Macaca fascicularis: one gene and its partners. The protein of the gene in region 2 purifies or fractionates together with the protein of the main gene of each other region. This does not show direct contact. Links are inferred from orthologs where the notes say so. Each region holds a gene or a part of one and is shown on either strand. Other genes may lie near its edges.

Region 1 (4,007 bases), on a different chromosome or scaffold from region 2:
CCTCAGTGAGGGAGGCAGGTGGCCCAGGAAGCAAGTGATGGGCCGCTTCTCACCTCCAGCAGCAGATGGTGCATAGTCCTCAGAAACTCTTCATTCTCCTCATATCCCTCAACCGGCCCTTTAGGCACCTGGATCAGGCGCAACTGTGGGCAAGAGGCGAAATTATCTCCGGGCATCCCGAACTCCCGCCTCAGCCCGGCTGAGGTGTGCCCGCCCCGCACTCCCCGGGATATGCTCGGGCGGGGTAAGGATCCTCACATTATCGGCCGCTTCCAGGAACGCCGCCCACTCCACCTTAGGTATCATACGCGCCACGAAGTTGGGGTTGAACTCCACAGGGCAGATACGGACCTCAGTGGCCTGGCAGGGCGGAGGAGTTTAGGCAAGCACTGGACCCTGGCCCACCATCCCACCCGAAAAGGGAAGCCCGCCGTGGTACCTGGAGGCGCAGGGGGAAGCCACGGGACCCCACCCCCCGCACATGCGAGCTCAGCAGATTGTGGGTGAGCAGTTTCATATCGCCGAACAGGCTCTCGTCAGGCCGGAACCGGAAAGAGGGCGTCCTCCGCTTCGTCACTTCCGGGGATGCTCCACTCGATGCTATTGGTTGGCCAGGAGAACCGGAAGTGGCGAACTTACTGGAAATTCTCGTGCTTGCGGGAGCTGAGCTAGGTAAGTGAAAGACCTGTCGGGTCACGCGCCACTACCGGAAGCGTCTCAGCAGGAGGTTCCTACAGCGCACGCCCAGCTTTTTTTTTTTTTTTGCACAAATCCGTCGTATCATGCAAATCATATGCAAAATAGCTGCAATGCAGGGGCTCTCGTTGAATGCAAAATAAACATGTTTTACTCCTACACAGGCGCCTAACACCGTCGTCTTCTGTACCCCGCTTTCGGCTAAGGGGCAGAAATACTGCCCTATCTGTAAATTAGACCCGTGGAAGCCGAGCGGCACCTCATTCTTATATGCAAATTAGCTGCCCCAATGCCGAAAGCTCTGCCCAATTTGTAATTGCGTCTGCTGTCCAGCTAGCCCCCAAGGCAAATGAGGCGAGGGTCCCGGAAGCTCTGTTACACGCGTGGCCGCTCGCGCCTGCGCAGTGGAGGCGGCCCAGGCCCGCCTTCCGCAGGGTGTCGCAGCAGTGCCTCCAGCCGTGCCCCGCCTGCTGCGGTGGCCCCAGCTAGGGGGCGGAGTGAAAGTGGTCTTAGGGCGGGTATGGGACTAGCCGGCGTGTGCGTCCTGAGACGCTCAGCGGGCTATATACTCGGTGGGGCCGCCGGTCAGTCTGTGGCAGCGACAGCAGCAGCAAGACGGCGAAGTGAAGGAGGGTGGGCGTCTGGCGGGGTCCGCAGTTTCAGCAGAACCGCTGCAGCCATGGCCCCGATCAAGGTGACCGCTGGCCCGGCCGGGCCTGACATCCCCCACTACCCCCATGCCAACCCCCGTCGCGCTGGTCTGGGAATATCGCCTTATTTCCTGCCTGCCAGACCCCTCCCCGCCGGCCGCCCCGCTCATCCCTTCAGAAGGCCCTCGTGGCTGCCCACCCTTCTCGCCAATCGTGGGGACCTCACCTCCCGGGGCAGTTCCGAGGCATTGTTTCTTTTTTTTTTTTTTTTTTGAGATGGAGTCCCTCTGTGTCGCCCAGGCTGGAGTGCAGTGTCGCAATCTCTGCTTACTGCAATCTCCGCCTCCCGGGTTGAAGCGATTCTACTGCCTCAGCCTCCTGAGTAGGTGGGACTACAGGTGGGAGCCACCACGGCCGGCTACTGTATTTTTAGTAGAGACGGACGGGGTTTCACCCTGTTGTTCAGACTGGTCTGGAACTCCTGACCTCAGGTGAACCGCCCGCCTCGGCCTCCCGAAGTGCTAGGATTACAGGTGTGAGCCACCGCTCCTGGCCTGATTTCCCATATCTTCTGAAACAGCTGTCCCTTAGTGCCCCCGCCGGGGCTTCCCCCATCCCGCTCCGCCCTCCCCTCCTCCCATGGCGAATTCCCACCTTTTTGCTCGTCTTTCACTCACCTCCTGGAACCGTCCCCGGGGTCTTGGACCTTCCCCCTTCTCCTCCCAAACCCTGTGAGACCCCATTCCCTTTCTACTTCATCCTGCTGCCAACCTTTGGGCTCCTCAGAGACTCCACCACCTCAGACTCTCTCTCCCTACCCACTCTGGCCCCATGAAGCCCTCACATACTCCAGGGGCGGATCCTTCCCCCTTCAAAAGATTCCTTCTTTTGTTGTACCCCTCCTGGGTGTAGGGGCCTGGACAGCCTCCCCCAGTGTTCCACCTGCCGCTGCCCTCCCTCTTTCTCCTCTTGAGGGTGGGACCCTCAGACCTGCCCAAGATCCTCTCCCTCCATGTTGTCAGGGACTCCTCCTCACCTCCAAATACAGCCCTCTAGCCCCTGCCCATTTTATTCCACTCCTTTCCTGTAACAGACAGCATGTTATGTAACCCTTTGTGACACTAGGGGAAGCCTTCCCTCCCTTTCTCTGTTGTCACCAATGGCCCCTTAAAAGGAGCAGGGCCATCTTGAAACCTAGAGGATATGGGGTAACCCGGTGTGAGCGGGCAGGGAGGGCCCTTGGAAACTCTGACAGGGCTGGAGCATCCTGCTGGGTTTCAGCCCCGGCTCCTGAAGGCCCGGCTGCCAGGCGCTCTGTTCACTTTCCTGCCTATGGTTTGCCCCGCTCCCTCACCCCCCTTACCTTGGAGTCCTTCCCTCTAGGTGGGAGATGCCATCCCTGCAGTGGAGGTGTTTGAAGGGGAGCCAGGGAACAAGGTGAACCTGGCAGAGCTGTTCAAGGGCAAGAAGGGTGTGCTGTTTGGAGTTCCCGGGGCCTTCACGCCTGGATGTTCCAAGGTGAGGCCCTTCCCCTTCTGAAGATCAGGACCTGGGATCTCTTGTGTTGTTCTTAAGTCGTCCACATAGTCCTGACAGGACTCCTAAAAAGCATTTCAGTGCCATCAGAAAACAAGTAGAGCTGGACGCGGTGGCTCACGCCTGTAATCCCAGCACTTTGGGAGACCAAGCTGGTGGGTCACGAGGTTGGGAGTTCAAAAGCAGCCTGGCAAGATGATGAAACCCTGTCTCTACTAAAAATACAAAAAAATCAGCCAGGCGTGGTGGCGAGTGCCTGTAATCCCAGCTACTGGGGAGGCTGAGGCAGAGAATTGCTTGAACCCAGGAGGCGGAGGTTGCAGTCAGTGGAGATTGTGCTACTGCACTCCAGCCTGGGCGAAACAGTGAGACTACGTCTCAAAAAAAAAAAAATAGAGACTGCAAAAAGGGAACAGTACCAGGAATGTTGAAGAAAAACATATTGCAATTAAATCCAACACCCCTGTTGGTCCTGCTAAATGACAGGCACTTTGGAAGGTGCTTGGAACTCAGATAACTAAGACATAGTTCTGCCCATGGAAAGTTCACGTCTGGACCATAAGGCATTAGGTTTCATTCTGAGCTTCCTAGTGGCCAAGGCAAAAAGGAAATAGAGTGGTTTAGACAACTCTCATTGTCTGATCAAAGGTGTTGAGGCAGAGCAGTGAGGAGGGCCTGGAGATGAAGGGTGGGCTAGGGGGCAGATGCAGTTATCACTTTGCCAACCCTTTGTTCCCCTTCCCCAGACCCACCTACCAGGGTTTGTGGAGCAGGCTGAGGCTCTGAAGGCCAAGGGAGTCCAGGTGTTGGCCTGTCTGAGTGTTAATGATGCCTTTGTGACTGGCGAGTGGGGCCGAGCCCACAAGGCGGAAGGCAAGGTGAGGTGTGGGGCCTGCAGGGAGTCAGGGCCAGGTAGGATATTCTTCTTGTGACCTTTCCTTTCTCTGCAGGTTCGGCTCCTGGCTGATCCCACTGGGGCCTTTGGGAAGGTGAGTGTTCCCCTGACCACCACAGGAACATGGTCGTGTGGGGAGCAGTGGGGGCCCTTAGCCTCTTCAGGGATTTCTGATACTTTTCTCTGTCTCTTCTTAGGAGACAGACTTATTACTAGATGATTCGTTAGTG
Region 2 (3,988 bases):
GGACGTTACGAGTAGATCTCAGGACTAAAATAAACACATCATCCACACCACACCGTCATACATGTTTGTGTCTCTTGTTTTTAGCTTGGTTTTCAAATAGGGACAACAGTTAAGGGGCATTAACCCTTAAGACATGACTTTCCACTGGAAAATACCACTGCTCAAACGAAGGATTCTGGCAATTGCGGCCTTTTAAAAATTCTTTTCTTTTTCAGAATAGACACTGTGACTCTTCTACAACCTCTAATTTTGGAAAAACTCAAATGTGAAAGTTGTCCCTCAAATATGCTGTGTTATCAAGAGCACAGGGCCAAAAAGAGGAGGTTCTTTCAAACCTCCATTTAACGGGTAATACATTGGGAACATGTAAGTAGCTGTGCTTAGGTACAACCCTACAGGGACCAGGCTGTGAACTCAAGTGAGTAACACAGGCCTGGAAAGCTCCAGCAGTACTGTCCTGGGCTAATGAAGGCTCAGTATGAAGAGATCTCCAACAATTCTTCAAGAGAAGCTAGGAAAACTGGACTATTAGGTGAAAGATTCTGATTTGTAAAAACTAGCCACGAGTCTAAGATTTTAAACACGGAATAGGCCACGCCAGGTAGTTTATAGCCAATTTATTATCTCTGCATATCTGGAAAGCTGGAATGCTCCACTATCCAAGGCTCTTTCTCAGGTACAAGGGGCACCAACCAAAACGAAGTCAGGCGCTTAAAAGAAGGAACTATGCACGCTGCTCAGGGAAGGTGGAAAATGACAGAAACCTGGGTTCATGCATGGATTCTCAAAGGCCAGGGAGAAGGAATTCCACAGAGGCGTCTTAAGACTAGTACTGGTGGCCGGGCGCGGTGGCTCACGCCTGTAATCCCACCACTCTGGGAAGCCGAGGCGGGTGGATCACCAGGTCAAGAGATCGTGACCATCCTGGCCAACATGGTGAAATCCGGTCCCTACTAAAATACAAAAAATTAGCTGGGCGTGGTGGCACGCGCCTGTAATCCCAGCTACCCGGGAGCCTGAGGCAGGAGAATTGCTTGAACCCAGGAAGCGGAGGTTGCAGTGAGCCGAGATCGCGCCACTGCACTCCAGCCTGGGCAAGAGAGCAAGACTCGGTCTCAGAAACAAAACACAACACTAGTACTAGTGAATTATGTGGGAATAAGTAAAGAGGGACAAAACGAAGTCTGACAAATGAAACAGCAAAATGGAGTCAAATGCCAAAGAACCTTTTCCAGAAAATCTGGAGACGTATTAAAGAAAAAAGCTAAACTCGTATCTCCCTCATACACATTTCAGACACTTGCACAGACTAACTGTTCCTGTCCTCTCACCTTTCTGTAAACACCTTTAAAGACTGAATCTCATTCATATGATAAATATTCTCTCATGACTTTTAAGCCGAGTACGAGACAATTTTCCACCAGTTGGTAACTTCACTAAGGCTCTGGGGGACAGTGTTATCACAAGCACCTTCCTTGCAAGACGTTTTGCAATTTTACTGATAATAGTTATGAAAATATTTCTGTACATTTTACAAGAGTCGTTCAGAAGTTTGTCTCTGACCATCTTAGCAACCTGCCTACTGGCAGAGCAATTTTAAAGCCACTTCACAGAAAATGTGGCTTAAGAAATGCTCCGACAAGAGTTACTAAGTACCAATTCCGTGTAATGGAAACTTCAGGTCTTCCAATTTCCAAATCCCAAACCCCACCCACTGTCCTCAAACAACAGTCCTCAATCGTAGGTGCACATCAAAATCACATTTGGAAACTTAAAAAACAGCAATAATCACCTGCGCTGGGACAGGTTTTGATGTAATTGGTCTGAGGTTGGGCTCTGGTGTATTTTTAGTAAGATCTTCAAATAAGCTAACTGTGCACCCAAAGTTAAGAATCATCGCCCTCGAAAGTCCCCAAAACGGTCAGTTAAAACTCTGGCTCTCGGAGCTTAGGAGGAGGAAAAGGACCTCTATCCAAGGCTACCTTCTCTGCCCTTGCAGCCCAACCATGACCTAGAACAGAGGCCAACAAACTCCTGCAAAGTGTCACACAAACGGTCTCTGTTGCGTATTTTTGTTTACCAAAGCCTTTTAAAAATATAAAACCCATACTTAGCCTTAGAGCTGTACAAAAGCGGAGACTCCCTGACCCAGAGCGCTGAAGCTGGAACGCGGAGAGGGATGCTAAGACACCAGCCGGGCCCAGGCGCAGTCGCCACCCCGGGCCGGGCCTGTCACTGCGCCACTCGGTGTCCGCGGGACCCTCAGGAACGAGAACACAGCCAAGCAAGGGAGGAGCACAGCTGCTCCAAGCACCACGACAGAGCCCGCGGCGGCCGCCCACGGACCCCGGAGGGCAGCACGCCCACGCCCGCCCCCGCGGCAATCCCTCCCCGCGCTCCCGCCACGCGCAGGCCCAGCCCCGCGGCGGCCTCGGTCGCACACCCCGCACCCGGGCCCGCCCGATGACTCAGCACTTAGCCGGCACCGCACCGCTGGGGGCAAAGGCACCGACCGGGCGGCGCGGCCCGAGGCCGGGCGCGGGACCAGGGCGGTCCCGAGGCCTGGCTGGCCACCCGCTCCTAGCACAGGTGCTCGGGGCGACGAGCGGGCGGGAGCGGCCTCGCAAACAAGCCTCCGCCCCGGCCCTTGCCTTCTGCTCGAAATTGATGGTGCCCTGCACTGGGCTGTCGCCCTTCAACACGCACACGGCCTTCATCGCCATGACTTGCTAGGCCACGCCGCGGTCCTGCTTCCGAATATTGCGAGACTGACCGCAAACGCTGCAGGAGACTATGCCGCAAAGCGGGATCACGGCGCCGCGACTACTTTATAGGCCGGACCTCCGCGCCCCGCCCACTCTGGCCCCAAACCAGTCACAGCGCACGCGCTCAGCCCGCCCCCTGCGGCAGCCTCGGGACGCGAGTGGCAGGAAATGACTGGGGGCGGGGCCAAGGGGCCGCGTGCGCCTCAGACTTCCCCCCGCCCCGCAGCCGGGAAAGGTCCAGAACCCCGAAATGGAAAAAAACACAGCCTTTTTTTCACGGGGGCGTGGCCCGACGGTTGCAGGACGCGAAATTGGCAAAATGATGTAAACAAGGTACGCCTTGAAAATCTGAAGTCACTTTGTCTAGAAATGTCATTGGTTATGACTGACTTTCGCCACAGCATCTCATTTGTTACTCAGAAATTAGGACGGCCCAAGATGGATGCTTTTGTAGTTTTCTTTTTTTTTTTGTCTTGTTTTTTAATTTTCTGAGGGCATAGAAAGTCGCTACACCTCAATCCCTGGCCTCACCTTTTCTTCCCCTGCAGTTGTTTTAGTCCTTAGCACATAGTTTCTTATTTGGTTGGCAGAATTCGGTATTCTTTTTATATTTTTCCTGTTTGGCAACGCTACAACCCCACAGATAACCAAAACGGCAACTAGTTGGCTTCTAGGCATCTCCTGCGTTTTTGCCTGGCCCCAAGGCCACAACACTCAAGGAGGGTAGAATGGTGAAATAATTTGTGATGTCTCCATACAACAGGAATGATAAATATGACTTACCTTTCAAGGGAAATATTTCAAAAACTTTGATGAAATGAGAAAATAGTACAAACTACTTTTGTCCGGGGCAAAGGGGTTGTTTATTTGATTTTTGAGACAGGGTATTGCTCTGTCACCCAGGCTGGAGTGCAGTGGCACGATCATAGCTCACTGCAGCCTCGACCTCCTGGGTTCAAAAGTCATCCTGCTGCCTCAGCCTCCCAAGTACCTGAGACCACAGGCATGTGGCACCACACCTGGCTGATTTTTGTATTTTGGGTAGAGATGGGGTTTTACCATGTTGCCCAGGCTGGTTTCAAACTCTTGAGCTCAAGCCAGCGGTCTGCCCACCTCGGCCTCTCAAAGTGCTGGGATTACAGACATAAGCCACCACGTCCAGCCTAGTATTTCGTACTGAGCATGGCAAAATACTCAGACTTAATTCAAGTCCAGCGTGAAAC
Region 3 (4,073 bases), on a different chromosome or scaffold from region 2:
TTTGTTGAAGCACATTGTAGCAGGATTCAAACTTTTAATCCCCTACATAGGAGTCACTGCCAAATTCAGCAGATTCACAGAACTACAGACATACGAAAGGTCACCAGAATATAGTTCTCATCCTGGGTGTAGCCACTGCTTACCAACCTCCAGAGTAGGTGGGCCTCAAGATAAGGAAGGGATCTCTAGGATACAGTAAAGGATAGGGAGTTGGCCAGAAAAGTTTTGCTACATTCAAGTGTCTACCGCTGGGTGGAATATGGATTTTGCCTTGCCCGTTGAGAGAAATACTGGCATAACTCCTTGATCACTGTATGTTTCCAAAGTATTGGAATTTGAAAGCATTATGGAAACGGAATTAGAGAATTATAACCGGAAATATTACAGGACTCAACATTTCAACTCTTTTGAGCTTGGTGTTTTATGTAAGATCTCACTAGGTCCTCACTCACCTCTGGGCAGGCATTGCTATTCACATTTGCAAGTAAGTTATCTTAAAAGGCTTTTTGATAACCCCTGACTGAAACCCTAAGTAATGGGATCTTACTCTCACTTCAAGAAATAAGATGCTCGCTGGGGGCGGTGGCTCATGCCTGTGATCCCAAAACTTTGGGAGGCCAAGGCGGGAGGATCGCTTGAGTCCAGGGGTTCAATATCAGCCTCGGCAACATAGCAAGACCCCGTCTCTACTTCTCAGAAAGAAAATAAAAGAAATAAGATGCCATGGAAGGGATGGCAATAAGTGTTTTCCATAAACAACCGGAGAGAAACAAACAGAAAACGCTGTCCAAGCCACAGCCTTGCTTCCACACTGGGCTTTGCAGATTTTCCAATGAGCCACCAACGAGGTGGTTAAACCATCAGAGACTGCATCTGATTCCCCAATACACCAAGGCTCGCGGGATGGGAACAGGCAAATCGTCGTCGTTCTTTGCTGAGCCTGTGGGCTGCGGTCACCAGGACGAATCTGGCCCCAGCAGGTGCCAAAGGGCTCGACCTCCCGCCTTGCATCCGGCAGGCTGTACCCACCCCTCGGAAGTCGGCGAGGTAGCTGAGGCAAAGCGACTCCAGGGCGCAGAGACCCACACGCGACGCTCTAAAGGAAGTGACCTTTAGGGGCTGTTACTCTCAGGCCAAGCCCAGCAGCACCCGGCGCATTTACGACGGATCTGACCTGCAAGCTCCGACGCGACCGCGATAGCGGCTGGGAACACGCGACGGTCCCGCCCACTGCCACCGGCTCGGCCAATCCCGGGTGCCGCGTGCTGCGGCCGCCGGAAGTAGACCTACGACATGCGGGTCAGCCGGTCGGTTTCCCGCGTCCTGTGGGAGTTGTGTCTGGTAGGCCACGGTGGGGGTGCTTTTCACACTGGTGGGCGCAGAGGCAAAGCCGTTCCCGGGGCCCCTCACAGACTTCGGTGTCAGAATTTCCCCCTTGCGCCAGCGCCGCCTCAAATGTCAGGGCTCGCCCACTCTTCTCCAGTCTCACCGACCTAACCTTTCGGGGGCTCCAGAGGGGAAATTCGCCGTTTCTGCCGGACCTCTGTAGGGCGTGCCTGAACCCGGCCTTTATGGGATGATGTCAGCTACGTTTATTCAGTGCCCCAGAGGGCTTCTTTATGCCCAGTAACTACAGTTCAGATTCCTCCTCTGCTTCATTTTGTAGTTCGGTGAGATGAATTTGACGTGAGAAATAAGATTAAAATAGGAATAAGAAATTAGTTGAAATCACGTTGTAAACTGTAGAGTTCTGCAAATGTAAAATATTAATTTATAGCAATAAAGAAGGCTGTCAAATAATAGAGGGTAAAAGCAGGATAATACTTGGTCAGCATCTGCTGTGTGCCAGGGGCTGTGACAGATGCTGGGGATGCAGCAACCACCAAGACAAGAAGGTTCTCCCGGCGTTCACAGGACTGGGGAAGACGCAATAAATAACTAAAGGCAAAATGCTAGAATGATGCGCTCTCTCTAGATGAAATATAGAAAATGATTTATTTTTTATTTTTATTTTATGTTATTTTAAGATGGAGTTTTGCTCTTGTTGCCCACGCTGGGGTGCAATGGCGCCATCTCGGCTCACTGCTACGTCCACTTTCCGGGTTCAAGCAATTCTCCTGCCTCAGCCTCGCAAGTAGCCAGTACGATAGGCGTGCACCGCCACGTCTGGCTAATTTTTTTGTATTTTTAGTAGAGACAGGGTTTCGCCACGTTGGTGAGGCTGGTCTGGAACTCCTGACCTCAGGTGATCCACCCGCCTCAGCCTCCCAAAGTGCTGGGATGACAGGTGTGAGCCACCGCCCCGGCCAAGAATGATTTAGAGTGTTTACTTAATGAGATGCCAAATTTAAGAGCGACCCATGGAAAAACAATAACTTGGGAGCAGTTTTGTTTTTTTTTGTTTTTTTTTGTTTTTTTTTTTTGTTTTTTTTTTTTTGTTTTTTTTTTTGCCGCTAAGATCAGGATAATTCTGAGGGGAGTTGTTTTTTTGGAACGATGACCAGATGGCTGTGGGTGGCTATTACTAACACTGTCAACGCCATTTCTCTGTTATTGCCTTGTGACCTTCACAGGCAGAGCAATATTTCATCATTAAAAGTTGCAACTGCTACGAGAAGCTACGTTCCTTGAAAAAACGGCGTTTTTGGCCAGGCATAGTTGCTTACACCTGTAGTTCCAGCTACTTGGGAGACTGAGGCAGGAGGATCCCTTAAGCCCAGGAGGTGGAGGCCAACCTGGGCAACATAGCCAGGCCCGGTCTCTAAAAAAGAAATAAAACCGGCAGTTTCTTCCTTTGTACCTCCCGCGATGCATAAAGAGTTGTCAAATGTTGATTTAAAAAGGTAGTGGAGCCGGGCGCGGTGGCTCACGCCTGTAATCCCAGCACTTTGGGAGGCCGAGGTGGGCGGATCACAAGGTCAGGAGATCGAGACCACGGTGAAACCCCGTCTCTACTAAAAATACAAAAAATTAGCCGGGCGCGGTGGAGGGCGCCTGTAGTCCCAGCTACTCAGGAGGCTGAGGCAGGAGAATGACGTAAACCCAGGAGGCGGAGCTTGCAGTGAGCCGAGATCGCGCCACTGCACTCCAGCCTGGGCGACAGAGTCAGACTCCGTCTCAAAAAAAAAAAAAAAAAAAAAAGGTAGTGGATAGGATGGGGGCGGTTCTGCCTGGAAATTGGAGACTGAACTCAGAAGTGTCTTCGTTGTCAGTAGTACAGCAGTATTTTTTGGTAAAATTTTTTTTGGTTTTATGTGTGATGGGAAATATGCATGAACTGTAGAGTGTCTTGAGTGTAACTGACTTTTAATCGGTAGACAGTATATGGTGGGTAGAGTGTGAAATTTAGCATCAGTAATCTGAATTTGACCAAGACTGCAGGACCTTACACAGTCATTTCACCCTTCTGGACCTCAACCTTCACATCTGTGGAAGGAAAATTATAAGACCTGCCAGGAAGTCAATATATAAGGTCTAAAGATGATAAATGAGAAATAAAATATTAGCATACTGTTTCAAAAGACTGATATACTACCAGAAGAAATAATTGAAACAGTTGAAAATACTTGCTTCTGGGGAGCAGGGCTAAGGGGAAGGACTGAGTTAGAGGGCTGCTGCTGCATGGGTTAACTACTGCTCCATAGCAAAACCTGGCTGCTACAGTTTGCCACTGGGTTGTAGTAACTCTGCTTCAGGTTGTTAGCTGTGCAGGTTGGCTGGGGCCACTCTGTTCCACATGTTCATTCTGAAACCCAGGTTGAGGGAACAGCAGCAACTTGCCTGGGGGAAAAGCTCTTCCTACAGCAATTCAACAGTATAAGAGCACAACCTAATCATCAGGGCAGACTTTTCAAGGCTTTGTTCAGGTGTCTGTTCACATTCCATGGACCAAAACAAGGCCAAACCCAAAATCAAGGGACAGGACGTAGACTCCACCCATGCAGGGGGAAGGGGAGTGACTAATTCTGAAAAATAATCCAATCTGCCACAAGTAATACTTGACTTTTTCAAACCGTGCAGTGTATTCACTTGGTAAGAATTAATGCTGACTGTGGTCCATTTCAGGTCTTGAT
Region 4 (3,990 bases), on a different chromosome or scaffold from region 2:
AGTCTCGACCTCCCAGGCTCAAGCGATCCTCCGGCCTCAGCCTCCTGAGTAGCTGGGACTATAGGTATGCTTCACAAGCCAGGCTAATTGTTGCCCAAGCTGGAGTACAATGGTACGATCTCGGCTCACTGTAACCTCCGCCTCCCAGATTCAAGAGAACTCCTGCCTCAGTCTCTCAAGTAGCTGGGATTACACGCACATGCCACCATGCCCAGCTAATTTTTTTTTTTTTTTTTTTTTTGAGACGGAGTCTCACTGTGTCTCCCAGGCTGGAGTGCAGTGGCGTGATCTCGGCTCACTGCAAGCTCCGCCTCCCGGGTTCACGCCATTCTCCCGCCTCAGCCTCCCAAGTAGCTGAGACTACAGGCGCCCGCCACCACGCCCGGCTAGTTTTTTGTATTTTTAGTAGAGACGGGGTTTCACCATGTTAGCCAGGATAGTCTCGATCTCCTGACCTCGTGATCCACTCGCCTCGGCCTCCCAAAGTGCTGGGATTACAGGCTTGAGCCACCGCGCCCGGCCAATTTTTTTGTGTTTTTAGTAGAGACGGGGTTTCACCATGTTGGTCAGGCTGGTCTCAAACTCCTGACCTCAGGTGATCCACCCGTCACAGCCTCCCAAAGTGCTGGCATTACAGGCGTGAGCCACTGAGCCCAGCTCCTTTGTCCACCTTGGTTGAATGTCAGGAGTATTTGTCTCCTACCACACTAGAAACTTCCTGCAGACAAACCCCTGAGCTGAATCTTCTTTGGGGCCCTAACACCCATCTGGACAGGTCAGAGGACAGGCAGTGAATGTTTGCATGAGTGACAGAGGCACTGAGTATGTACCCATGTGTCATGTGTGTTTCTGCTCACCTTCTCCATGCTCGTCTGTGTACTGGAAGGCCTGGACCAGCCGCAGAGCCTCATCCACGGAGCGTCCCACAGGCAAATCATTAACAGTGATCTGGCGAAGGACACCCTTGCCATCGATGATAAATAGGCCCCTGAAGACATCAGGGTTCCCAGTAAGGAGCTGGGAGCTCCCACTGCCAGAGACAAGGAAGGGACTACCAACCACCCGCTGCTAGCCACAGGGCTGGGGGCAGAGAAGACATTGTACAGGAGTGGTTCCAGCTCCACAGGAATGGGGGGTCTCCATGAGCCGGGCTGAGGGTCCCACAGTACCTGTAGGCAATGCCTTCATCTGTTTTCAGCACGCCATAATCCTCAGACAAGCGTCTGGTCACGTCAGCAAGCAGGGGGATGTTCAGGGGGCCCAAGCCTCCTTCCTTCCGGGGGGTGTTGATCCTGGGAGTAGAGGAGATAGAGTTGGGGCCTCAGGATGCCTGGTACAGCCGGGTCCTCACCCTGTGGGCCCAATGTGATAAGCACTGGAGGCCAAAGATAAGGGGCTTTAAAGTAGGCTGCTGGGAGCCTCACCCACCCCACCCTGGGTTGGGTACAAGGACTTCCCACAGCTGGGAAGACTAAGCTTGAGAGGCCACGCTCCAGCTAAGTGGCTTCACATGTGCTTGTAACTTGCAGCATCACCCAGGAGAGAGCCCGTGTTAAGAGTCCCCGTCCTCCTCTAGCTGTGTCATGGGGTACAGCTCTTCACTTAGGTGAACCCGAGTTTCCATCTTTATGAAATAGGGCAGCACAGCCTCCCTCCTGGGAACTAGTAGATAGAGCAGATAAAGTTGCATCTGAGTTGCATCTGCAATTCTATGTGCCAAACAACTAGCTCAACTAGCTGCCAAATGCTAATTACTGCCATCCTTAAAAACTTGGGCGGCAATATTTCCATTATTTTCAAGATGGGGAAACGCAGGTTCCAGAGATTAAGCAATGGTCATGAAGCCACACAGCTCGGACCCGAGGGTGTGAGCTTAGCTGCAACCTCCTTCTCTGGCCCCTGCTCATACCAAGCCAGGTGGGTGAACTGAGAGTCCACCGAGACGCCCAGCACTTCGCAGCCCAGCTTGCGGAAGTCCTCGGCACGGTTGCTGAACGCGATGATCTCCGTGGGGCACACAAAAGTGAAGTCCAGAGGGTAGAAAAAGAGGACCACGTACTTCCCTGGGGAGGAGGGACCAAGAGGAGTTAGGGCCCAGCCTCTCTCATGCACGGCCCCGCTTCTGCTTCTACCTGGGTCCGCTCCGGGCTGCGCTCACCTTTGTAGTCCGACAGCTTCACCTCTTTGAAGGCGCCGTCAACCACTGCTGTGGCCTTGAAGTCAGGGGCTGGCTTTCCGATGCGCGCGTTACCGGAGGCCATGACTGAAAGCTGAGACCCCTGTCCGGTCAGTGCGCCCGGGAAGACCCTTTGTCCTCCCACCCCAAGGTCGCGCTGCGTGCTGGGCCCTGTGACTGAGTCAGCACGGCGGAGGCGACAGCACCAACCCTCACCCTCCCGGGTACCGGGTCTGCGAAGCCCAGAGGCTGCCGGAGACCCGCCCTCCTGACCAGAGCACGAGTGACCCAGCCACTGCCACTAGCACCCCACGAGCGAGTGGGCCGGAGCGCGGTGTCGCAAGCCCCAAGTCCAGAAGGAGACAGTGAGGCCCCCTCGAGCAGGGGGCGGGGAACAGGGCGATCGGGCCTGCACTGCAAGGCTGTGGCCTCGGTTTCCCCCGCAAGGACAAAGGAGGCCACTACAGCGGATGGAAAACAAAGGCGGCCAGCACTGAGGTCAGGATCCGGCCAAAGCAGCTTGAAGGGGGTCCTCCCGCCAGGTGCACTCTGTGTGTCTATACCTGCGTGGGCAAGGGCTAGACGCACGGACGATCACACGTGTGGACCCGCGTTCTCAGCGCCAAGTGAGCCCTGGGCCGCGAAGCCTTTTATGCCCGGCCCGAACCAAGATGTGCGCTGCGCAGGGGAGGGAGCAAACGAGCCGAGCGGTCGGGTCCACTGCACCCTCAGGTGCGGGGGAGCGTGCGGCCGAGTCCATGCGCCTGCGGGAGCCGGGGGGAGACGTGTTGCCTTCGGCCGGGACCACTGCACCGGCTCGCGGGGGTAATGCGGCCGCCGCAGACTCCGCGCACAACTCTCCCTGCGAGCGCGCTGGGTGCCGTTGGAGTCGGGCATGGCCCGGACCCCGGCGGCGCTGCTGCTGGCGCCTCTGCTACTCCTGCCGCTGGCGACCCCTGCCCAGGTCTACCAGGACTATCAGTACTTCGGCCAGCAGGGCGAAGGTGACACCTGGGAGCAGCTGAGGCTGCAGCATCTAAAGGGTAACCTCAGGCGGCGGGGGTGACGATGTCCATAGGCTCCCCGTTGCCCTACTTCTCCTGCTGGCTGCAAAGGGACCTTCCTCCGCGGGCTGCAAATCTCCACCCAGCTCTGCACTGGAGGCGTCCCCTTGGGCTGGTTACTGTTCTCTGAGGCTCGGTTTACTCTTGGATACGTTGAAATAGATACTGCTTTAAAGCAGCTCCCAGGGGAAGAGGGTGTGGGTAGGACATTGAAGCTGTCACTCGGGGATAGGTGCCAGGAAGGGCAGAAGCAGAGCAAGAAGGGGGCGGGCAAGCTTGGGAAGTCAGAGAGGGTCCGGTTGCAGAAGACCCGTGACCAGTGCAGCGAGAACGACAAGCGAAAACCCCAAATGGAAAGATTTGGGGAAAGAATGTCCAAGAAAGAGGGAATAGCAAGTGCCAAGGTGAAAAGGCCTAAAGGAGAAATGGGAAGAGGTCGGTGAGATGTGGCAGAGTGGGTGTGGGAGGGTAGCAGGTGTCAGATCTTGGTGAGCCGCGAGTTGGGATAAGATCGGACTTGGAGGCCTGGCGCGATGGCTCAAGCCTGTAATCCCAGCACTTTGGGAGGCCGAGACGGGCGGATCACGAGGTCAGGAGATCGAGACCATCCTGGCTAACATGGTGAAACCCCGTCTCTACTGAAAAACACAAAAAAACTAGCCGGGCGAGGTGGCGGGCGCCTGTAGTCCCAGCTACTTGGGAGGCTGAGGCGGGAGAATGGCGTAAACCCAGGAGGCGGAGCTTGCAGTG
Region 5 (4,004 bases), on a different chromosome or scaffold from region 2:
AGAGACGGGGTTTCACCATGTTGGCCAGGCTGGTCTCGAACCCCTGAACTTGTGATCCACCCACCTTCACCTCCCAAAGTGCTGGTATTTCAGGTGTCAGCCTCCGCACCCGGCCTAATCATTCCTTTTTTTTTTTTTTTTTTGAAGTCTTTCCTTAAAGCTCTTCCACCCTCATTTTCAGAATACTTACTAGAGCAGATCTGTGGCTTTGGTCAGCCTAGCGTTTTTTCCTTCTAGTAAGAGAACACCTCTTCTCCCTTTGGCATGGCCAGTCCGTGTTGGTCATGTGACTTCACTGGCTCTTTCTTAGGGATGGGTTATGAAATCAAACTAGTCAGTTGGGATCCTTTATCGGGATCGACACAGATAAGCCAAGAGTTCTCTCTCAGGATTTCTTGGGCATGCTCTGCCCCAAGGAGTTCTGACGGGAAGGCTTTATTGACTACAGCTGAAATGCCATTACAGAAAAGCCTCAACCTAGGAGCAAATAAACTCAGCTCTCATCAGTTATCTGGTGGTTGAGCTGAGAGGAGAAAAGTGCTCCCCAAGCTTGGCTTCTCCAGCTTCACCAAAGCCAGGGACCTAAAGGAGAGCGCCAGTGTCGCCAGCGTGAGCGGGCGGCGGCCTGGTGCCGGGCTGGCATCCCCAGCCTGTGCACTGGGCACTTTTCTTTTTCTTTCTTTCTTTTTATTTTATTTTTTTATTTTTATTTTTATTTTTTTTTTTGAAACGGAGTCTTGCTCTGTCACCCAGGCTGGAGTGCAGTGGCGCGATCTCGGCTCACTGCAATCTCCGCCTTCCGGGTTCAAGAGATTTTCCTGCCTCAGCCTCCCGAGTAGCTGGACTACAGGCACCCTCCATCATACTCGGCTAATTTTTGTATTTTTGTAGAGACGAAGTTTCACCATGTTGCCCAGGCTGGTCTTGAACTCCTGACCTCAGGTGATCCGCCCGCCTCGGTCTCCCAAAGTGCTGGGACTACAGGCGTGAGCCGCCACGTCCGGCCAGCACCGGGCATTTTTCTTATTTTAGCCATCCCGTGTTTGAGGTTGCTGTCTGGGCTCTGCTCCTACCCGAGGGCAGCCCGGAGGAAATTCTCGAGGTGGCCTGGGCAGGGCGGGCTGGGCGAGGGCGCGCCCGGGGCCTGGAGGCGGAGTCGGGGGCGGGGCGCGCCGTCATCTGACTCGGTGACTCACCCGCGGCCGCGCTTCCTCTGACCTGGCCGGGCGGAAAGTCGGATCCCGAGGCTTCAGCTCGGAAAGCAGCTGAGCGACCATGGAGCTGTGCGGGCTGGGGCTGCCCCGGCCGCCCATGCTGCTGGCGCTGCTGTTGGCGACGCTGCTGGCGGCGATGTTGGCGCTGCTGACTCAGGTGGCGCTCGTGGTGCAGGTGGCGGAGGCGACTCGGGCCCCGGGCGTCTCGGCCGCGCGGGGGCCGGCGCTGTGGCCCCTGCCGCTCTCGGTGAAGATGACCCCGAACCTGCTGCATCTTGCCCCGGAGAACTTCTACATCAGCCACAGCCCCAATTCCACGGCGGGCCCCTCCTGCACCCTGCTGGAGGAAGCGTTTCGGCGGTGAGGGCTCCCGGCCGGGAAGTGTCCTGGGGGAGGGGAGGTGGACCACCCCGGGGCGCTCTGCAGACCCTCACCACCCCACTGCGCAGACGAGGAAACGGCCCCCGGAGCGGGCAGGCGATCTGCCCAGCGCCACACGGACTGAACCCACGCTCTTGCCCCCACCCTCCTACTGCTTCTTAAGGGACACCTTGGGTGCTCAGGAACCCTAGTTTGAGAGCAGGATACTAAGTGGAAGAGGGAGTTTGCTCTGAGGCCTTGTTGGGCAAATGACATGGATGGAGGGGACACCCGGTTCCCCAGCTCCAGAGCTGGGGAGGAAAGTGACAGCTCCTTATTTGAAGGACGTTCAAAGGGATAAGTTACCTGAAGGGCTTAGACAAGCTCTCTTGAGGGACCAGGAATTCCCCAAAGCTGACTGTCATTTATAGGCCAATTTCACCCTCTTGCCTCTCCTCAAATCTCCTGGTAATAACTCAAATGGCGGAAGTCCTCAGTTTCGAGCACTGCCTAAAACTCCCCTCTCACCTAAAATCTCTTCCACATAAAATGTGAGATGTTTGCATCTAACTACGTTTCTGCAGCCAGTGGTTAGACAGTATCCAACTTTGTTTCTCAACACCAATCATGTGCCTGCTCTCCCTGCTTCCTCTTTTACAGAGCCCTAGATAGCGCCTCTGTCTCCCTCACCCTTTGGCTGCGGACAGGGTGAAATTTGTCATGGGAGTCAGCCAATCACACAGTAGACAAGACAGTTTCCCCTGGGGAGATGTTTGAAGAAGCCACACACTGTCCCTTCAGTGTGAGACTTGTGTAGGTAGGACTGTCCTGAAGGCGTATCGTGCCCCGCAGAACTGTAATTTGGTGCTAACTGTACTGCCTCCTGGCATTCCCCAAGCCTGTCTCTGTGCCCAGTAGATACTATAGAGCTTAAGTGTGCTTGCAGGACACTGAACAGGTGGGGAGGAAGTGCAAAACTAACTGAATAACGTGTTCTGACCCCAGATAGGACAGGTGCCTAGGCTCAAGCTGAAGAGGCCGGAGATGTTGATGGCAGAGATGGTTCATTCTCTACAATCAGAAGGCTCACGGTTTCCTTCTGTTTTGTACAACTAAATGGGTATTATCAGTCCCTATTTTAGGCACACACACTAATGAGCCTTTGGTATCCAATCTGCTAAGGCCAGAGGGGGGTTAAGATGTAGAATCAAAGTGTTTGGTTGCATTGGGATATTCAGAAAGATTGCATGGAAAGTACACGAAGGTTGTCTCAGAAGATCACGACTAGGGTTGGAAATCTTTTAAAAACAAACACCTTTATTATGTTTGCCTTGGAGTTCAGCTTGTAGAATTGGATTTTCCTTCTGTGTCATACTGCTAAGTAAAACAAGGACTTGGTAATACGCTGAACTGACGATGACAAGAAAGCATAGGTGATGTAAGTTAACAATAGGTAAATAACCAGGACTTGAATCAGCTGAGATGATTTGAAGGCAAGGCTTGGCATTTCAAGGCAGGTGCGGGTGACTGCCTGAAGAGTTTGCCTAATTCATGGTCTCTGAGTGGAGCAGCCATTAATTATGCCTGGCGTTATTAGGAAGCAGGTCATAAAATGTATTAGCCCTTATGGCTAAGACGTGAAGGCATGCATGTGAGCATTCTAGGAGCTCAGCACGGGCGGTAGCTATCTCAGAGTAAAAGCACAGTGGAGTTAGAAAGATTTGGAAATATGGGGTGTTCAGAAAGTGTGACGTGGTCAGGAACACACAGCCGGGGCCCCAGATTGTTCAGAATCACATAGCCCCTGTCTCTGAAGAGCCCAAGTTGTATCACAAACCCTGCTTTGAAACAGTATGTTTTTTGCAGGCAGAGAGTTCAGCTGTTAGGTGCATAGCTGCTTCTTCAGCTTCTAGGACAGCGTCCATCACATGCTAGTCACTCATTTTAAAAAATAAACAAATAGCTTCACTCCTTCATTTCCTGGAAGGCTAAACTAACCCACATACCTTTGACATACTGCTTCACAGCCCTTTGAGTTTTCTGTTAGAATTTTACTACCTAGGGTTAAGGTTCTAAGCCAGTTTCCAACTCTGATCTCGAAGCTGTTGGCAGCTTTAATTTCCTTTTTTAAAAAATTTTAAGTATGGAAAAAATATAAAATTTACCATCTTAACCTTTTGTAAGTATGTATTTCAGTGATCTTAATTTCCTTTTTAATCTGTCAAGGTTTTCTGTCAACACCTTCATCCATTCCATTCTCTCATTGGTTAACTTCCATACACTCCCAAACATGTCACAATTTTCCAACCTCCTCTTCTGCGAAAAAGCGTAAGATGTTCTTACACATAAGTAGCATATATAACCTTCTGGCTTGCCAAAATCTGTAAAATATTTAAACAATTGTCCTGAAGCTTATCTGATCTTTTTTAT
Region 6 (3,500 bases), on a different chromosome or scaffold from region 2:
GGACAGTAAGCAAGTGAACCTCTCTACCCTGAGACCTGACTGCAAGGCTGTGGGGACTTGGGGGAGGTGGGGCAGCCCTGAGAGTGCCCCGTCAGCTTCCAGACCGAGCAGTTCCCCAGCCCCCTCAGGGCTGGGCGGACTGAGGTCACAATGAGGGATGTGGGTCTCAGCCTCTCAGCAAGAAGGCAGGTTGCAGTCAAATGTCACCTGGTGATGAATGGGAGGCAGTGATAGTTCTGGAGGTTAAGGGCAGTTGCAGGTGATTCCAAGGGGACTTGGGACACCCAGGTCCTGGCCCAGGGCCAAGGACACCAGCCTCCCTAGCGCACCCTCTACCCTTCTTCCCCAGAACCCACACTGGCTGCAAACACATCAAAGAAGAAAACATTTCAGGGCCAATTCATTTTTCTCAAAACATATATTTACCCCTCCTCTCAGTACATCTTTGAGCACCTTTCCCAGAATCTCAGGAATGTATAGACCCCCGCCCCACACTTCATACCCGCCCTAGGCCTTGGTGATGAGGCCCTTCACAGCTTGTGCAATGGCATCCTTGTCAATACCGAACATCTTCAGCAGCTCAGCTGGCTTCCCACTTCTTGGTACCCGGTTAACTGCCAAGTGGGTGACAGTGATGCCAGGCTCGCCCACTACTGCACTGGACACAGCCTCACCAATGCCACCTAGAAATGAAAGGAGGGGAGTCAGACGAGGCCTCAGGGTGAGCAGTGGTGGGCCCAGCCCTGTCAGCCTTAGTCAAGGATGGAGGAAGCTGCATACGCACCGCCTTTCTCCACCTGCAGCCACGAGCCCATCACATAACTCATTGTTTTTATTGTTTTAAAGAGTCAGGTTTTGCCACGTTGCCCAGGCTGGTCTCCAACTCCTGAGTTCAAGAAATCTGCCATCCTCAGCCTCCCAAACTGCTGGGATTACAGGCGTGAGCCACCACACTCGGCCCAAAACTATTTTTATAGGCCCAAACGTGGCCTCTAAATGTTTGTTTCAAACACCATCCTCTGGCCAGCAACTGTCCATAGTCTGATTATCTAGATTTGACCCCAGAGTCAAAGCCCATCTCTCCCACTGGGGCCTCCTCCTTAGAGAGGCTGGTGTGTACTTAGGGAGCCTGCTGTGTGAAGGACTCACCACTACCTCAGGGACACCACCATCCACCATTTAGCAGCGAGGCTGGAATCCTCGCCAGCTTCCTGGGCAGCAGGAGCTCCACAGAGCTCACCAGCAGCTGTGCGTTAGCTGGGTCTCCAGGCCAAGCCTGAGGCCTGTTAAGAGACCACGTCCCAGCTGCTCTAGAGGGACAGCTCTGGGGGTTCTGGGCCACCGCTGCCCTCCTGGGGCTCAGACAGAAGAGGCACGTCCAATGCTCGGGCTCTCTGGCCCTGCCCCTTGCCCAGCTTGCCTGCCCCAGGCCTCCTTACCTTCGTAATAATGGTCCTCCACGGTGAGGATCCTGCCCTTGGTGGCACGAGCGCTGTCGAGAATGAGTTTTCTGTCCAGCGGCTTGATGGTGAAGGGGTCCAGCACGCGGATGTTGATCTTTTCTGTGAGGGAGAGCATACGGCATGGCTGAGGGGAGGGCTGGGCACCACCGTCTGCCCTGGTGGGGGCCTGGTGGGACATCCTGAGGACTGCGTTTAGCTAAGAGCTCAGCCTGCGGGCCTGTCCCTGTCCCAGGGAGAACCACTTGCCACCTTGTTCCCATGGCTGAGCTTATGCCTGCCAACCCCTTGCACTGGGGCATCTGGTCCAGCTGTGTTGCCTGCAGTATCCAAGAACCCAGAGTGGAGTGTGCAGGCCCTGAGCGCCTTCCCTCATCCTCCCACAACCTCGAAGACAAAGGGAATGCGAGAGGACACACTCCAGGTATCTGGCCTGACAGAAGGTGAGGGTTGATGTGGTGATGTGGGGGAGCTGCAGCCAGCGGAGTGATCAGAGGCCCAGGTGCAGCCCCAGCAGCAGAAGCACCTTCTCAGAAGGACAAACCCACGCCTGCCAGGCCCTGCTTAAAGCTCACCCCACTGGATCTCCCCCTGCCTGGGGATGGGGTCCCCTGGCTCCTCCAGCCCCATCTTGCTCCTGCCTGGCCCTGCTCCGGCCTCCCTTTACTCCCCTCTCTACCGATCAATTCCTACCCACTCTGAGGCCACTTTCTGGAAGATGCCACACCTGCCCGCTCTTTCGTGCTAAAACATGACATCTGTTGTGTGATTCTATTGCAGGAGAGGCCAATGCCTGTCTCCCCTACAAACCACTAGCCAACACTGTGAGCTCGCAGTAATAATAATAGAATACCAGGTCACATGCATGTAACCCTCAGGACAGCCCTGCGGGGAAGGGGCTAGTATCTCCATTTTACAGATGGGAAAACAGGCATGGTGATAGGTAGGGAATAACTTCCTTAATTAGCGTCTGGCTGAGTGATTCCAGCCCTGCGGGCAGGCTCCAGGCCACTGATCTGACCACCGTGCTGGGGGATCTCTTAGAGTCATAGGGTAGGGACTGTGAGCACTGCAGTCCCGGGACTTAGCATCATGTCAGACAGAACAAGTGCTCAAAGGATGGCTTTAATTACCATCATTATTTAATTAAATGAAATTCTTTCTCTTTAGCTGTGAGCTCTTCAAGAAAGAAAGAACCCCAAGACCTAGCATGCAGTGGCCATTCAGTTGATGACTTTGGAGGCCCCTTCTCACCTTTCCTCAGCAACTCGGCGGCAGCCAAGGCCTCATGCAGGGTCACCCCAGCCCCGATCACAGTCACCTGGTCATCCTTGCTCTTCAGGACCACCTGGGGGTGACACAGAGGGCAAGTGAGGCTCAGGGCCTCGGGACAGGGTGGGCCCTGACTGCTGGGAGTCACAGCAGGGAGGGTCCAGGCAGCTCTGTGGGCTCCTGGGGCATGTGAGGCACTGACCTTGGCTTGTCCGACCTGGAAGTCCTCATTGTTGTTATAGATGATAGCATTTTCTGGGCGGCTGGTCCGGATGAAGCAGATACCCTGAGACGGAAACAGATAAACTGAGGATACAGGATGTGGCACACCCAACCTCAGAGACGAGGTCTTTCTAGAGAGGCCATCCCTTCCCATGGGAGCGTCAGTCACTGCATCCTGGCTACTCCAGCAGGGAAAAGGGCCTTGCTTGCCCTCAGCCGCCCGCACCCCACTTGAACACTCTGAGAACTGCCCGCCCCTTGCAGCCCCAGGCCGAAGGCAACTTTCCACCAGGTAAACTGGCTGCAGGTGGGCTACTCCTGCAGCGTGCACCAGGCAGAGGGGCAGGACCATGTACACTGTGTCTATGGAGTGCAGCTCCGGGCCTGGACCACAGGGCTCAGCTCATCCTTGCCTGTCTTGGAGAACCCAACTCAGGAGGGTGGACAGGTGTCAACCGCCGGACCGGCCAGGGCTGCCAGGATTCTCAGCGGAGACAGACTGTGGCAATCAGTTGACAACGTCTGCCACGTGGCAGTAAGTGGGGC
Region 7 (3,500 bases), on a different chromosome or scaffold from region 2:
GTTGAATAATCTGCCCGAGAGCACACAGCAAATAGTGGGGCAAGAATTCAGACCAGGAAATCTGACTGCAGAGTCTGTGCATTTAACCACTACCCTAAACAACTTAGTCAAGGTTGAGCCAAGACCCAAACTCAGGTCTTTTCACTTCTGAGTCTTTGGCTCCATTCTGATTTTCAGTGGCACTAAACTCAAACCACCCTAGACAAATAAGTGTTCTCTTCTTATATAGGTCTTAAAAAGTTTTTTTGAGACTGGGCATATAGTGGCTTACGCCTGGAATCCCAGCGCTTGGAGAGACTAAAACGGCATCACTTGAACCCCAGGAGTTTGAGATCAGCCTAGTGAACATAGCAAGACTTCATTTCTGCAAAAAAATTAAAATAAGTAGCTGAATGGGTGGGAAACCCCTGTAGTCCCAGCGACTCAGGAGGCTGAGGTGGGAGAATCATTTGATCCCGGGATTTCGCAGCTACAGTTAGCTATGATTGCACCTCTGCACTCAAGCCTGGGTGACAGAGTGAGATTTTTTGTTTTAGATCTATTGACCCAGGATTGTGGGTGACTTGTCCCCTGCTGCAGGAGTAGGTTGGTGGGGCACATTGTTTCAAGGATCAGTTGGGGAGCCATCCCTGTCCTATAATTTTGGGCAGTGTGAGGCCAGGCGAGCAGCAAGTCTAGGGGGAAGCAAGGCTGGGCGTTGCAGAGGAGCACACTGGGAGGATCACACTGATGAGGCGTGTACCTCCTCTCCTTAGTGGTGTCTATCGAAGATCCCTTTGACCAGGATGACTGGGGAGCTTGGCAGAAGTTCACGGCCAGTGCAGGAATCCAGGTAGTCGGGGATGATCTCACAGTGACCAACCCAAAGAGGATTGCCAAGGCCGTGAACGAGAAGTCCTGCAACTGCCTCCTGCTCAAAGTCAACCAGATTGGCTCCGTGACCGAGTCGCTTCAGGCGTAAGTGTCTTCCCAGGCAAGCAGCTTTCCCGCAGCTACGGCTTGTGAATCAGAAAAGGGCCCTTTTGTTCTGTCGATGGGGAATCCTGCTGGCCAGAATGTAGGACACCTTGGGATTTTAACAGGTTTTGTGTTTGAACTCGGGACCCTTTTAAATTACAGGCCCAAAATGTTGGACCTGTAATCCCAACGTTTTGGGAGGCCAAGGCAGGAGGATCACTTGAGCTCAGGAGCTCAAGACCAGCCTGGGCAACATAACAAGCAGATGTATTCTGTGAAGAGCTCAGTCAGAGAACACTAGTCTTTCTCCCATCAAGGGAGGCTGAACCCAGTGTTTCAACTATGAAGAGGGCTAAGAAGGTCCTGGGGGTGGAAGAGTTCAGAGGAGGGTGAGGGTTGTCCTCTGTGCTCTTGACAGAGCCCAGGCATGGAGAGCCTTAGCCATTAACAGCCCCTCCACTGCTTTCCTGCTGGCACCGAGGGGTAATGGCATTGGGGTTTGTGGCACCAGAAAATGGGGTCATGCCATCCAGGTTGTCTCTTGGCTTCTAGGTGCAAGTTGGCCCAGGCCAATGGTTGGGGCGTCATGGTGTCTCATCGTTCTGGGGAGACTGAAGATACCTTCATTGCTGACCTGGTTGTGGGGCTGTGCACTGGGCAGGTAAGAATGAGCGTCTCCTCCTTTCTTCTCTCTGACCTCAACTTGCTGGAAGACCCAAAACCAGTGAAGATCCGTGTCTGTCCCTGTTTTGCTCATGTCCGCTGAGTTGTTGTCCTGGTTTCTGAGCCTGAACAGAATGGGGGCATGAGGGCCCTGCTTGTATGTTGTAGCCCCTCCTTTCCTAGGCTCAGATCCTCTAGAAATTCTCTCTCTGACATCACACCCTCTCCCTGCCAGAAATGCCTGCAAAGCCTGTCCACTATAAGCAAATGGCTTTTCTTTTCTCCTAGATCAAGACTGGTGCCCCTTGCCGATCTGAGCGCTTGGCCAAGTACAACCAGCTCCTCAGGTAAGGAGGGCTCTGGAGAACAAGGGGCCTGTGGTTCACCCGCTGGGGCTGCACTCAGTGTAGGCACTGCCCTCCCCCAGGAGCTCCTGGCTCTGGGAACAGGTACAGGGGCAGGCGCACAGTGCAGCCAGCCAGGCCCTAAGCAGGCCTAGACCCCAACCCCTGCAGTGCCATCAGAGGCAGAAACCTCCTCCGCACAGTGCTGCCCTCTTCCCGTAAGAGAGATTGGGACCCCCTTTGACAGCTGATCCATGACTTTCTTAGAGCTTTCAGAGAGCCCCTTCATGATCTGTTTCAGCACATTTAACCGTTTTGGATATGGAGCCAGGGCTTGGAGAGAGGAGGAAAAAGTCAAAGGGCACATGGCTGGGTTTCCACTTCTCAGTGCTGTGGGGCTGTTCTGGTCTCCCTTTCCTGTCTGTGTCCTTGAGAAGCCCCTGAACACCAGGAGACTTGTCCCCCTGTCCCCCGGTCCCCCCGCCACCCACTTTTTGTTTTTGTTTTTGTGTTTTTGAGATGAGGTCTCGCTCTGTTGCCTAGTCTGGAGTGCGATGGTGCGACCTCGGCTCACTGCAGCCTCCGCTTCCCAGGTTCAAGCAATTCTCCCACCTCAGCCTCCCGAGTAGCTGCAATTACAGGCGTACCACCACACCCAGCTAATTTTTGTAATTTTTAGTAGAGATGGGGCTTCACCATGTTGGCCAGGCTGGTCCCGAACTCCTGACCTTGGGTGATCCGCCCACTTCAGCCTTCCAAAGTGCTGGGATTACAGGCGTGAGCCACTGTACCCGGCCAATATTATAATATACCACTCCCCCACTGACTCAGGCACCACTGGGATACAAACCCCCTTTTTAGTTATTTTCTGGACTTGTAGGGAAACAACACCCATTTCCTAAGTTCTCCCCTATTACCCCTTCATTAAAACTGTATCCTGGGAATTTTCATACACACACAAAGAAGCAGGTGAACAGTAGACACAGGGCTTTTTTGTTATTTTGTTTGTTTGAGACAGGGTCTTGCCATGTCACTCAGGCTGGAGTGCAGTGGGGCAGTCATAGCTTCAGACTTCCATTCTTTTTTGCTGCGGAATTTTATTTATTTGTATTTTTTTGAGACGGATCTCGCTCTGTCGCCCAGGCTGGAGTGCAGCGGTGCAATCTTGGCTCACTGCAACCTCTGCCTCCCAGGTTCAAGCAGTTCTCCTGTCTGAGCCTCCGAAGTAGCTGGGATCACAGGTGCCCACCACCATGCCTGCCTAATCTTTTTTGAATGTTTAGTAGAGACGGGGTTTCACCATATTGGTCAGGCTGACCACAGGTGATCCTCCCACCTTGGCCTCCCAAATCTGGCTTCTCAGAGAAGCACAAGTTTAGAGGGTTTGAAGAAGGTGGACAGATTCTGTGTTCTCAACTTCCCAGGAGTGGGGCTGTGTCTGACCACATCTAGGATGGGAAAACTTACAACTTGAGGTCTGACTTTTCTTTTTTCCTCCCCATCTTTTTATCTTTCTCCTTCCCAAGAATTGAAGAG

The links.
Region 1: the proteins of SOD1 (region 2) and PRDX5 fractionate together in Homo sapiens (co-fractionation; 3 studies listed by BioGRID and IntAct, with this or other methods). This does not show direct contact. The link is inferred for Macaca fascicularis from reciprocal best matches to the Homo sapiens genes SOD1 and PRDX5.
Region 3: the proteins of SOD1 (region 2) and PARK7 purify together in Homo sapiens (affinity purification with mass spectrometry; 4 studies listed by BioGRID and IntAct, with this or other methods). This does not show direct contact. The link is inferred for Macaca fascicularis from reciprocal best matches to the Homo sapiens genes SOD1 and PARK7.
Region 4: the proteins of SOD1 (region 2) and PRDX2 fractionate together in Homo sapiens (co-fractionation; 3 studies listed by BioGRID, with this or other methods). This does not show direct contact. The link is inferred for Macaca fascicularis from reciprocal best matches to the Homo sapiens genes SOD1 and PRDX2.
Region 5: the proteins of SOD1 (region 2) and HEXB purify together in Homo sapiens (affinity purification with mass spectrometry; 3 studies listed by BioGRID and IntAct, with this or other methods). This does not show direct contact. The link is inferred for Macaca fascicularis from reciprocal best matches to the Homo sapiens genes SOD1 and HEXB.
Region 6: the proteins of SOD1 (region 2) and TKT purify together in Homo sapiens (affinity purification with mass spectrometry; 3 studies listed by BioGRID, with this or other methods). This does not show direct contact. The link is inferred for Macaca fascicularis from reciprocal best matches to the Homo sapiens genes SOD1 and TKT.
Region 7: the proteins of SOD1 (region 2) and ENO1 fractionate together in Homo sapiens (co-fractionation; 3 studies listed by BioGRID, with this or other methods). This does not show direct contact. The link is inferred for Macaca fascicularis from reciprocal best matches to the Homo sapiens genes SOD1 and ENO1.

Annotation. Positions count from the first base shown.
Region 1 is NC_088388.1:10,075,291-10,079,297, reverse strand, and holds the start of PRDX5 (peroxiredoxin-5, mitochondrial), read left to right. Parts: upstream 1-1,207; 5' UTR 1,208-1,216; coding exon 1,217-1,390; intron 1,391-2,729; coding exon 2,730-2,864; intron 2,865-3,628; coding exon 3,629-3,760; intron 3,761-3,832; coding exon 3,833-3,871; intron 3,872-3,974; coding exon 3,975-4,007. Other genes in the region: TRMT112 (multifunctional methyltransferase subunit TRM112-like protein), read right to left, coding at 54-143, 259-360, 440-517. UniProt on the Homo sapiens protein: Thiol-specific peroxidase that catalyzes the reduction of hydrogen peroxide and organic hydroperoxides to water and alcohols, respectively.
Region 2 is NC_088377.1:15,217,673-15,221,660, forward strand, and holds the start of SOD1 (superoxide dismutase [Cu-Zn]), read right to left. Parts: upstream 2,801-3,988; 5' UTR 2,724-2,800; coding exon 2,652-2,723; intron 1-2,651. UniProt on the Homo sapiens protein: Destroys radicals which are normally produced within the cells and which are toxic to biological systems.
Region 3 is NC_088375.1:226,919,773-226,923,845, reverse strand, and holds the start of PARK7 (Parkinson disease protein 7), read left to right. Parts: upstream 1-1,273; 5' UTR 1,274-1,341; intron 1,342-4,073. UniProt on the Homo sapiens protein: Multifunctional protein with controversial molecular function which plays an important role in cell protection against oxidative stress and cell death acting as oxidative stress sensor and redox-sensitive chaperone and protease.
Region 4 is NC_088393.1:13,188,668-13,192,657, forward strand, and holds the start of PRDX2 (peroxiredoxin-2), read right to left. Parts: upstream 2,801-3,990; 5' UTR 2,740-2,800; intron 2,271-2,739; 5' UTR 2,262-2,270; coding exon 2,159-2,261; intron 2,064-2,158; coding exon 1,910-2,063; intron 1,293-1,909; coding exon 1,170-1,292; intron 989-1,169; coding exon 858-988; intron 1-857. Other genes in the region: THSD8 (thrombospondin type-1 domain-containing protein 8), read left to right, coding at 3,072-3,219.
Region 5 is NC_088380.1:78,673,900-78,677,903, forward strand, and holds the start of HEXB (beta-hexosaminidase subunit beta), read left to right. Parts: upstream 1-1,204; 5' UTR 1,205-1,275; coding exon 1,276-1,574; intron 1,575-4,004. UniProt on the Homo sapiens protein: Hydrolyzes the non-reducing end N-acetyl-D-hexosamine and/or sulfated N-acetyl-D-hexosamine of glycoconjugates, such as the oligosaccharide moieties from proteins and neutral glycolipids, or from certain mucopolysaccharides.
Region 6 is NC_088376.1:116,356,366-116,359,865, forward strand, and holds the end of TKT (transketolase), read right to left. Parts: intron 3,019-3,500; coding exon 2,935-3,018; intron 2,809-2,934; coding exon 2,715-2,808; intron 1,563-2,714; coding exon 1,440-1,562; intron 684-1,439; coding exon 508-683; 3' UTR 404-507; downstream 1-403. UniProt on the Homo sapiens protein: Catalyzes the transfer of a two-carbon ketol group from a ketose donor to an aldose acceptor, via a covalent intermediate with the cofactor thiamine pyrophosphate.
Region 7 is NC_088375.1:225,996,234-225,999,733, forward strand, and holds part of ENO1 (alpha-enolase), read left to right. Parts: intron 1-755; coding exon 756-957; intron 958-1,509; coding exon 1,510-1,618; intron 1,619-1,908; coding exon 1,909-1,967; intron 1,968-3,490; coding exon 3,491-3,500. UniProt on the Homo sapiens protein: Glycolytic enzyme the catalyzes the conversion of 2-phosphoglycerate to phosphoenolpyruvate. In addition to glycolysis, involved in various processes such as growth control, hypoxia tolerance and allergic responses.